2 linked regions of the Nothobranchius furzeri genome follow. The protein of the gene in region 1 purifies or fractionates together with the protein of each later gene. This does not show direct contact. Links are inferred from orthologs where the notes say so. Each region holds a gene or a part of one and is shown on either strand. Other genes may lie near its edges. The genes, in order: atp6ap2 and ccdc115.

Region 1 (4,538 bases):
TGTTTTCCACAGTTGAAGTGTACCTATGATGTAAATTACTGACCTCTGTCATCATTTTAAGTGGGAGAACTTGCACAATCTGTGGCTGACTAAATACTTTTTTGCTCCACAATATTTGTAAAACAATTTATTCCTTGACCGTTCTGCATGAATTTACATAATAATAAACAGTATCTTCTTCTTTATTAAAGTCAGTCAAATGTGCCTGATTTATTTGTAATAACAAAAATAAAACTTTTCAAACTAACACTTTTAAACACACACATGAGCAATGGTTTGAGGCCTTTTTTCCGTCTTGCAGAGATTCTCGTGCCTTCCTAAACAGCTTTTTGTAAAGCATGACCTGTGTGAACTCTTCATGGTGGGCACTTGGAGTTGACTAGATGCATGTAATGAGCTTTGATTGGGCTCACAGGACTCACCCAACAATGATTGGCTGCACAGCTCGAGCATTCTTTCCTCCTCTCTCATGAAAGTCTGCATTCAGTCAGTGAATATTTGGATAAAAAAGCTACAGCAGACGAGAGTCGATCTGTGTCACAGAAATAAAGCACATGGAGGCTAAACCATAGTCACATCTGCTCTGTGTTAGCAGGATTAGCTGCCAATGTCAAAATTTCAGATCCAGATAAACAGGCCATGGCTAAATTCAGGACAAATATTTACTTTTATGTTGAAGAGCTAAATAATTTCAAATGCAATTGCTTATTTTTAAGCAGCAGAGATGCTGTTGTAAAGGAAGATTTAAATATTGTAATTTCGAAATGAAGCTGGTTTAGGGGAAAAGAAATACAATGCTGACATCTTGTGGCAAACCTGTGACATTACAACAACACCAATCCACAGTCAAACCCAATTCAATTAAATTAAATTCATAAATAAAATTATATTACCATGACAATAAGAAACATCTCATGATTTTCTGCAGTTAAATCAAACGAAATATACTTTAAATTACTTTGGTTTTACAAACAGAGTTATTTTGGACCAAGATAGTACAGAAGGAACCACACAAATCAAATCACAAAGCTAATGTAAATTTCACTGGGAAGAAAAAGTTGCAATATTAACATAATAAATTTCTGCCTTAAAACAAAACACTCTTCCACTTAATTTTTTAATAAATGTGTGTTTGATACAGTCTGTATTGCACTCACATGAGAGCATCATGTGATCCAAAGAATAGGGTGTGTGTGTGTGTGTGTGTGTGTGTGTGTGTGTGTGTGTGTGTGTGGCAGATTCAGGCTGGTGATGGGACTCTGTTACCAAACTGGGGTTTGTTGTCTTTGCATGTAGAACAGATGAACAGGGTTTATCAGTTGAGCAGCAGCTTTGCTACAGTTGTGTGCTACCAAGAGGTTAAAGCCTTGAAAAAGAAGGCCGCTGATGAGGACACAGACAAGAGACGACAGACGGTGAACTATCTTGAGATTATTTGATCTTTGGTTTCTGTTGTGGTCAGATCTGCCGCCCTTTTGTGGTGATGTAGTGACATTACAAATAAAAAACCCACTGCACCTTCAAGGAAAATCGCGAATAAATAATGTCTTAAACGTCTAAAACCTAACACAGTTAATTTAAAGAAATATAGTCATAAATCTCTTTTTTTTAGCTTTTATCGAACATTAACAAGCGGTTTGTCCACTATGTAGCGGTAAGCTTAGCTACTCTGTCACAAACTCCCACAATGCTTTGCTGCACATAGCGTCAGCTGACCGACATACAAGGAGAAAGATGTCGCTGAAGAACTGCCGAAGGATGGAGGCTACATTTAACTCTATGGTTTTAGTCCTTTGTGTCCTCACCGGTAGGAACTGCACGACAACTAAAACTCTTATTAACATTTGTGTACTCTATTATAACTAACCCTTTTGTCGTCGCTTCCTTTAGGAGTTTAATCATTCAATGACCAAATACAGTCCAGTTAGCGTTGTTAGCATTCATTTACTCTGACATTTTGTCTGCCTGTGTGTTTTAGTGTTGCGTAGATATAACTATGAATGTTTTAAAGATAATAATAAACAAAAAGGGTCGTAGTGCCGGATCGCTGAGAATAATAACAGCTTTGCTCATAATAGCAGTGCTAACAGCTGGAGATTAGCTTGCAGCTAACTTTAGAACCAACAGTGAATGTGTATTTGTTTTTTCTCACAAATTGTCAAGCGACATTTAAAGTAATCTAAATCGCCAAAAAATAATTGTAATTTCTTCGTACATAGCGAAATGTTCAGCTTTGTCACGTGACTAGTTAGTTCCTCTTTATTGACTCGCATCCCTGTTGTCTCTAGTCACGAGTGGATTCTTCCATACGGGCTGGTCATGATTAAGCTCTATTTTTGTCATACATATTACTAGGACGCTTGTTATAACCTTTTTAAGGTCACAATACTCGGAAAATATACTAAAAATATGTAATTTGAGGTTATACTCATTCGCTTGACTTTCTAAAATATGATCCACCTCATTTAAGATACTTTTCATGAACAAATGTGATCTAATACACAATTGGTTAGGAGATAATATAACAGTCTAAGGATCAAGTCTGTCCCTGTGGGAAAATTGTAGTTATTTTTGCTTTTGTCCCGCAGGTGTCCTTGGAGACAGCCTTACGGTGTTGCAAGCACCAGAGTTTGTGTCTTTCCAGAAAGGGGACTGGCCGGTATCTGGGACGAAGATCCCCGACCTGGTGGCTCTTACCATGGGCTTCTCTATTCAAGAGGTGCTTTATTTACCATCTCATGTGTGTGTCATTTCTGTCCAGTTTTATTTAGGGCTCGTGGTTATTTATTTTTTTATTATTCACACAGGATTTGACTTGGCCCGGCCTTCAGGCTGGTCCTTTATTCCAGCGACCTCGAGCTAACGTGCTTGTGGTAGTGAGAGGAGTCGACAGCTTGTCCTTTCCTCAGAGCGTTGCCTCGTACCCCCTGGAGAACGTAAGTCAGACCAACACCAGAAATGTGAAATTCTAGCTTAATATTGAGTTTAGAGTTATCTTCTCTCTTCCAGCCGGTACCCTTTACCCTGGACAGTGTTGCAGAGACTGTTCACTCTTTGTTTGCTGAGTACACCCCTGTCGTGCTGCAGCTGGCTCCCAGCGAGGAGGTAAAAACAAATCCAGTGTACAACAGGAAACTACAAATTTCTGGGGCAATACTGTAAAGGCAAATGTTTCTCATATTCCTAAGCTTTTGTTTTCCCTTTCAGCGACTTTACATGCTCGGCAAGGCCAATGCCGTGTTTGAGGACCTGCCGGTCACCCTGCAGCAGATCCGTGCTCGGCTGTCGCAGGACAGCTCCGTGCTGACCTCGCTTCCACTCAATTCTCTCAGCAGGAATTCAGAAGTTAGTCGATGACTGCCGTGACGCCAAATCTAACATTTTGAGATGCATCCCTCTCCTAACAGCAGAATTTTGTTTTGTTTGTTTTTGTAATCAACACTCATTTTGTTTTCAGGCTGATCTGCTCTTCCTGTCTGAGGTTCAAGTACTGCATGACATCACCGCTCTGGTAAGTCATCATTCATGGCTGAAACTTTTATTTTTGTCTTGATAAAAACTCCCCCCCCCCCCCCCCCCCCCCCCTTCTGTAGCTACAGAGACACAAACATCTGGCCAAGGACATCTCCCCTGACCTCTACTCCTTGGAGCTTTCTGGTTTGGAGGAGTTGAGTCGGCTTTATGGCACAGATTCTCCTCAGTACCGCGATGCCACCTCCATCATAGCCTCTGTCCTTCAGAAAGTAAGGACTCTGAAGCTGATGCTGCCTAACTGTTTACTTTAACCTGATATAAACCACATTTTTTTTATTACAGTTTGGGGAGGATATGTATCGTCTCTATGGCAACGGTGCCGTGGTGGAGGTTGTCACAGTGAAGACCTTTGAGGCTCCTTTGATCAGGAAGTCCCGTTCAATCCTGGAATCTAAGCAGATTGTAAGTCGACTTTAAAATTCTGCACTGGTTCAGTAAAATGGTAAAAAAAAACAAAAATCTAATTATGCCTAAAATAGTCGCTCTAATTCATTAAAATATTTAACGTGGTACTCCTGGATTTCTGAATGTCTTTGACAGCATTTTATTTCTTCATTAATAATTGTCTGTGTCGTGTTTGCATGTGAGATAAAGCATGGGGGCAAGTAGATGTGGTTGTTTGGACTTGTTGGGCTAAGTGGGATTCATATGGGACTTCCTATAGGTGACACTTTGACTTGTTGAATGTTTCCAGAGCAACCCAGGCCGCCCTTACAACCTGGCCCACAAGTACGGCTTTCAGTACGCTGTCATCTTCAACATTGTGCTGTGGCTGATGATCGCTCTGGCCCTCGCCGTCATCGCCATCGCTTACAATCTGTGGAACATGGACCCTGGATATGACAGCATCATCTACAGGATGACTAATCAGAAGATCAGGATGGACTGAGTCCTGACCGCCAACACTCCCGGTGTCTCCTTGAAGCTCCTATGTGAATGTTTGTGTTTTGTGTGTTTGAGGTCTTCTGCAGTGAAAACGTGTGACGGTTGGATGGGACGAAGAG
Region 2 (4,052 bases), on another chromosome or scaffold:
TTACCAGTTTATTCTACCTGTTTGAAATGTGCACTTTAGGGCATGTAAACTCAAACGCGGAACTCTGTCTGATCTGGGCGGGTCCTTGTGATTACACACACCAATGACATTGCTGCATGTGTAGAACTAGAGGCGCGCACGATGCGCCGACTCATTTGATTGGCGCTTCATCTCGGAACATGGACGTCGCTGTTGACAACTGCCAATGAGCGCCTCCGTACTCTCAAAGTCCCTCTCCTCTTTTTATGCAAAATCAGGGTTAAAGTCTAAATCCAGGTGGGTGGAATCGACAAAAACATGTAAATTTTCGTGTAACTTTTTTTGTAAACTTAAACATTTAGGCCACTTAATTTATTTCTGTTTCTGTAGCTCCGTCATTTTCCTACAAAGTGCAACTAGAATAAACAGAAGTAACCCTATAATTATCGTACGTTTGTAATAATGTTCAAAACTAAATTAAAGCTTTAGGATAAAAGCAAGACACGACATAAAGAGTTAAAATTGATACTCACTGACAACATGTTTAAAATAATTTTTAAAACGCAAACAACAACATATGCCGGTAGGAAAATGTATTAATGTTATTATCTGTACTGAGTGTAATTGACTAATTAAACTGTAAATAAGCAAAAATAAAAAGAAAATAAAGTAAAAGGTATCCACCCTTGCCGTGTCAGGGACAATCCCTGCCGTGACCCGGATTCGAACCGGGGTTGCTGCGGCCACAACGCAGAGTACTAACCACTATACGATCACGGCGAGCTACAGGGGGACATGTGTGAACACGTCAAAATACAGCTCTATGAATGTGAGCTAAAAGGTGAAGTACTGGCAAATATGTTTTACTGATAAGTATCTGTAATCATAATTTTTGTGAAAAATGAAACAGGATACATCAGGTTGTGCAAAAATGATTATTAAAAAAACTCATTAAAATAAAATGTATGGCTGGACAAAAGGATGGATAAAACGCTCAACTCGCCTTTCACAGAACAGGTACTGCCCAACAGGTACTGCCAGAGGCCCATTACACCTTTACACACATCCAACTCTATATGACAAGATAGGTCAGTGATCATAAACAGCACATTTATACATACATCTGTTTACCGGCTCAACAGTCCCATATGGTCTAGCGGTTAGGATTCCTGGTTTTCACCCAGGCGGCCCGGGTTCGACTCCCGGTATGGGAACAGCTTTTTTTCGTGCAAAGTATTTATTTGGCACTCCTACAATCCGATTCTTTTACGCATGTCTTTTTTTTTATTATATTACCTTTACATTAACAATAAATACAACTTCTGTGTTTTCATCGTCAGCTAAAACCAGCACAGCTAAATTAAAACATCTAGTTGCAAAACTGTTTATTTACACAATAGGTACTTTTCATGACAACTCTTAGGAAAATAATACATATAAAGTAATAACCCTTTAAGGTTCATGACATGAAATTATAAACTTTTACACCCCCAGAGGATGTTAAAAATGTCACGTGACTGTGGGCGTCACGTGACGCTTTACGGAAGCTACATTTGTCTCAGACTTGTTTGCCGCTAACGCTAACGACCTTAAAAACTCCGCTTCTTACTTGTTTCAGAGACTCGACATGGGTGTATCTGGAAGAGAGCAGTCTTCTCCATCACTGGACGACAAACTGCTCCGTTTTATGGACCAGCTTGAGTTACTGGAGCAGAAAAGAACCTCTCTGAATTCTCTCATCGAGCAGGTAAAGATTATTCAGCTAGCTTCACATTTTAGAAAGGGATTAGGCATACTCGGATGTCTGTCCTCATTTGTTTACATTTTAAAAAATACATTATTTTGAACTTCGTGTTCAAATTAATGTATCAGTCATCATTCATTCAAAATGCCAAAACATTCATCTAGTTTATTACAAATATATGTCAACAGGAGAACATCGAGTAAAAATGGTAAACAAAATTATTTTTATGGGGTAACGTTTATTGACATGTTTGCATTTCTGAAGCTAAAACCAAATGTTTAAATCACCCTTGAACTGGTTAGCTTGATTGTTTTTTTCTCCTACATCTAAATACTGTAACTGATTGTTTTAACTTTCTTTTCTCTACCTGTTTAACCATTTAGGGATGGTTCACCATGTCCAAAGCACGATATTCCATGGGAAATAAACAAGTCTCACCACTTCAGTATGCAAATGAGATGGAGCCACTGGTTCATGTTCATGTTAGGTGAGGACTGCAAAATAAATGCTGTCAAAAAACCGTTGGACACTTCTTAATATTATTTTAAAACAATCCCTTACTGTGTGTTTAATAGAACCCTGGACAACGATGAGGTGGAATTTTGCATCGAAAGGTCTCCTCAAACCTGTGGTGAAGAGTCTGTAAAGGACCTGACGTCTGTAGAGGATATTGGACCTCGAGAAGAAGGTCAACAGAAAATTTTAATGGTAAAATGTGTCATCTACTTGTTTCTTATCAAATGATCATACTACATGTTTTTACAGGTGTAAGGCAAAGAAAAAAGACTGAAATCATCTCAGAAAAGAAGACAAGTGAGGATATAAGCGAGCAGAAAGCTCCTGCCTGGAGAAGAGACCACAATCCTCAGCAAGACCCCCTGAAGTGGTTTGGGATTTTGGTGCCGCAGCCTCTTAAACATGCACAGTCATCATTCATACAAGGTATGATGGTTAATTTCTAAAGTAAGTCAATACTATGCAAATGTTTTTAAGTACTTTGCATATGAAATCTGTTTTTTTTTAGATGTTCTTTTATGTTTGAATGGGATTTATAAGCATGAAGGTTGTTGCGTGCTTGTGAAAGCATTTGCTAAATGCTAATGAAAATTCTGTTTACTATTCTCTTATTGCAGTAATGGAGCTGTCTGCTGAGATTGCAGCTCTCCAGATTGCGGTTTTAAACACAAGAGAAGAGCTAAAGGACGGTTTAAAAAACAAAAAGGCCCCAGGAGAACAATTCAGAGACTCTGCTGATCACGGCAGTGAATCTAATACTTCTGCTGTATCTGAGCAAGAGGGCACCAAAGTTCCATCGTCAACAGGGAGCCAATAGATCAAAGGGTTTCACTGATGCATCAAATAATTTCTTGCTGTAATTAGAAGGGATAGTCACAGATGTAACATTATTACATCAAAGTTATTCACATGGAGTTGTACAGTTATTAACATGTATAAAACATTTCAATGTGGCTTGAAATATCCCCTTATGTTAACGTGTTTTTGTTTTGTTCAATGACTGGTCCAGCTTTAATAAGTGTTATTAAAATGGCTTTTGCTCAAATCTTCTACATCCTTTTTCACGCAGTGAGTAATTATGCAACGATGGCATTTCCCATATGTAATCAATTTAAACATGCACTAAAGGGTGTCATCAGTGCTTAATTTGAGCTGGATCTTGCCGGAGCAAGATCAGCGAACTGTCTTATTTTGAAAGGACCGTTCCAGCAACTGGCTGCTCGGATTCGGCAACTCTCGCAACCAACTTGTGCTATATGCAGGGTTGGAATTATGGGTGAGCTATTAGCTAAAGGGATCCCAGCTCACCCCAAAGGATGACGCTCCCCTGGAAGCCCTCAGTTGACACCCAGAGGGAGCCCAAAACGATCCTGGTTCTACTTATATTAAATTATCTATGTGGACTCTGGGGATTATTTTGACCTGAGAGGTGCAGAGCTCTGATCGTTATGCGCTCCAGACCATGGACGTAATTTTCACTTTAGAAGTGGGGGGACACGGGGGTGGGGGTATCTTTACAGTCTGTTCTAATGGGAAAGAGGCTTCAACACAAACGGTTGTTTTCTGCTTGGTCCTAGAGCTCAACCAGTGTTAATTTTATATAAAGTAATATTGTTTTTGGATGGTAAATAGTGCAGGGGTCAAAACTTGACTTTGGAAAAAGTGGGGGGGACATAATTATTTTAATGTTTCGATTAGCAGAAACTCTGAGTCTGCAGGAACACCAGAGTTTGAGGCCTTTGCGCAAGGAGAGGAGGGCTGAAGCAGGGGATCAGTAATGATGCAAAAACTACAGTTTTTGAAAGAAATGTGT

Evidence for each region.
Region 2: the proteins of atp6ap2 (region 1) and ccdc115 purify together in Homo sapiens (affinity purification with mass spectrometry; 3 studies listed by BioGRID and IntAct, counting the BioPlex papers as one, with this or other methods). This does not show direct contact. The link is inferred for Nothobranchius furzeri from reciprocal best matches to the Homo sapiens genes ATP6AP2 and VMA22.

What each region holds. Positions count from the first base shown.
Region 1 is NC_091754.1:27,619,100-27,623,637, reverse strand, and holds the start of atp6ap2 (renin receptor), read left to right. Parts: upstream 1-1,653; 5' UTR 1,654-1,734; coding exon 1,735-1,807; intron 1,808-2,588; coding exon 2,589-2,719; intron 2,720-2,807; coding exon 2,808-2,936; intron 2,937-3,009; coding exon 3,010-3,105; intron 3,106-3,207; coding exon 3,208-3,345; intron 3,346-3,457; coding exon 3,458-3,511; intron 3,512-3,593; coding exon 3,594-3,743; intron 3,744-3,816; coding exon 3,817-3,936; intron 3,937-4,228; coding exon 4,229-4,423; 3' UTR 4,424-4,538. UniProt on the Homo sapiens protein: Multifunctional protein which functions as a renin, prorenin cellular receptor and is involved in the assembly of the lysosomal proton-transporting V-type ATPase (V-ATPase) and the acidification of the endo-lysosomal system.
Region 2 is NC_091755.1:25,080,684-25,084,735, reverse strand, and holds ccdc115 (coiled-coil domain-containing protein 115), read left to right. Parts: upstream 1-1,500; 5' UTR 1,501-1,606; coding exon 1,607-1,726; intron 1,727-2,106; coding exon 2,107-2,210; intron 2,211-2,298; coding exon 2,299-2,411; intron 2,412-2,488; coding exon 2,489-2,665; intron 2,666-2,856; coding exon 2,857-3,056; 3' UTR 3,057-3,284; downstream 3,285-4,052. UniProt on the Homo sapiens protein: Accessory component of the proton-transporting vacuolar (V)-ATPase protein pump involved in intracellular iron homeostasis.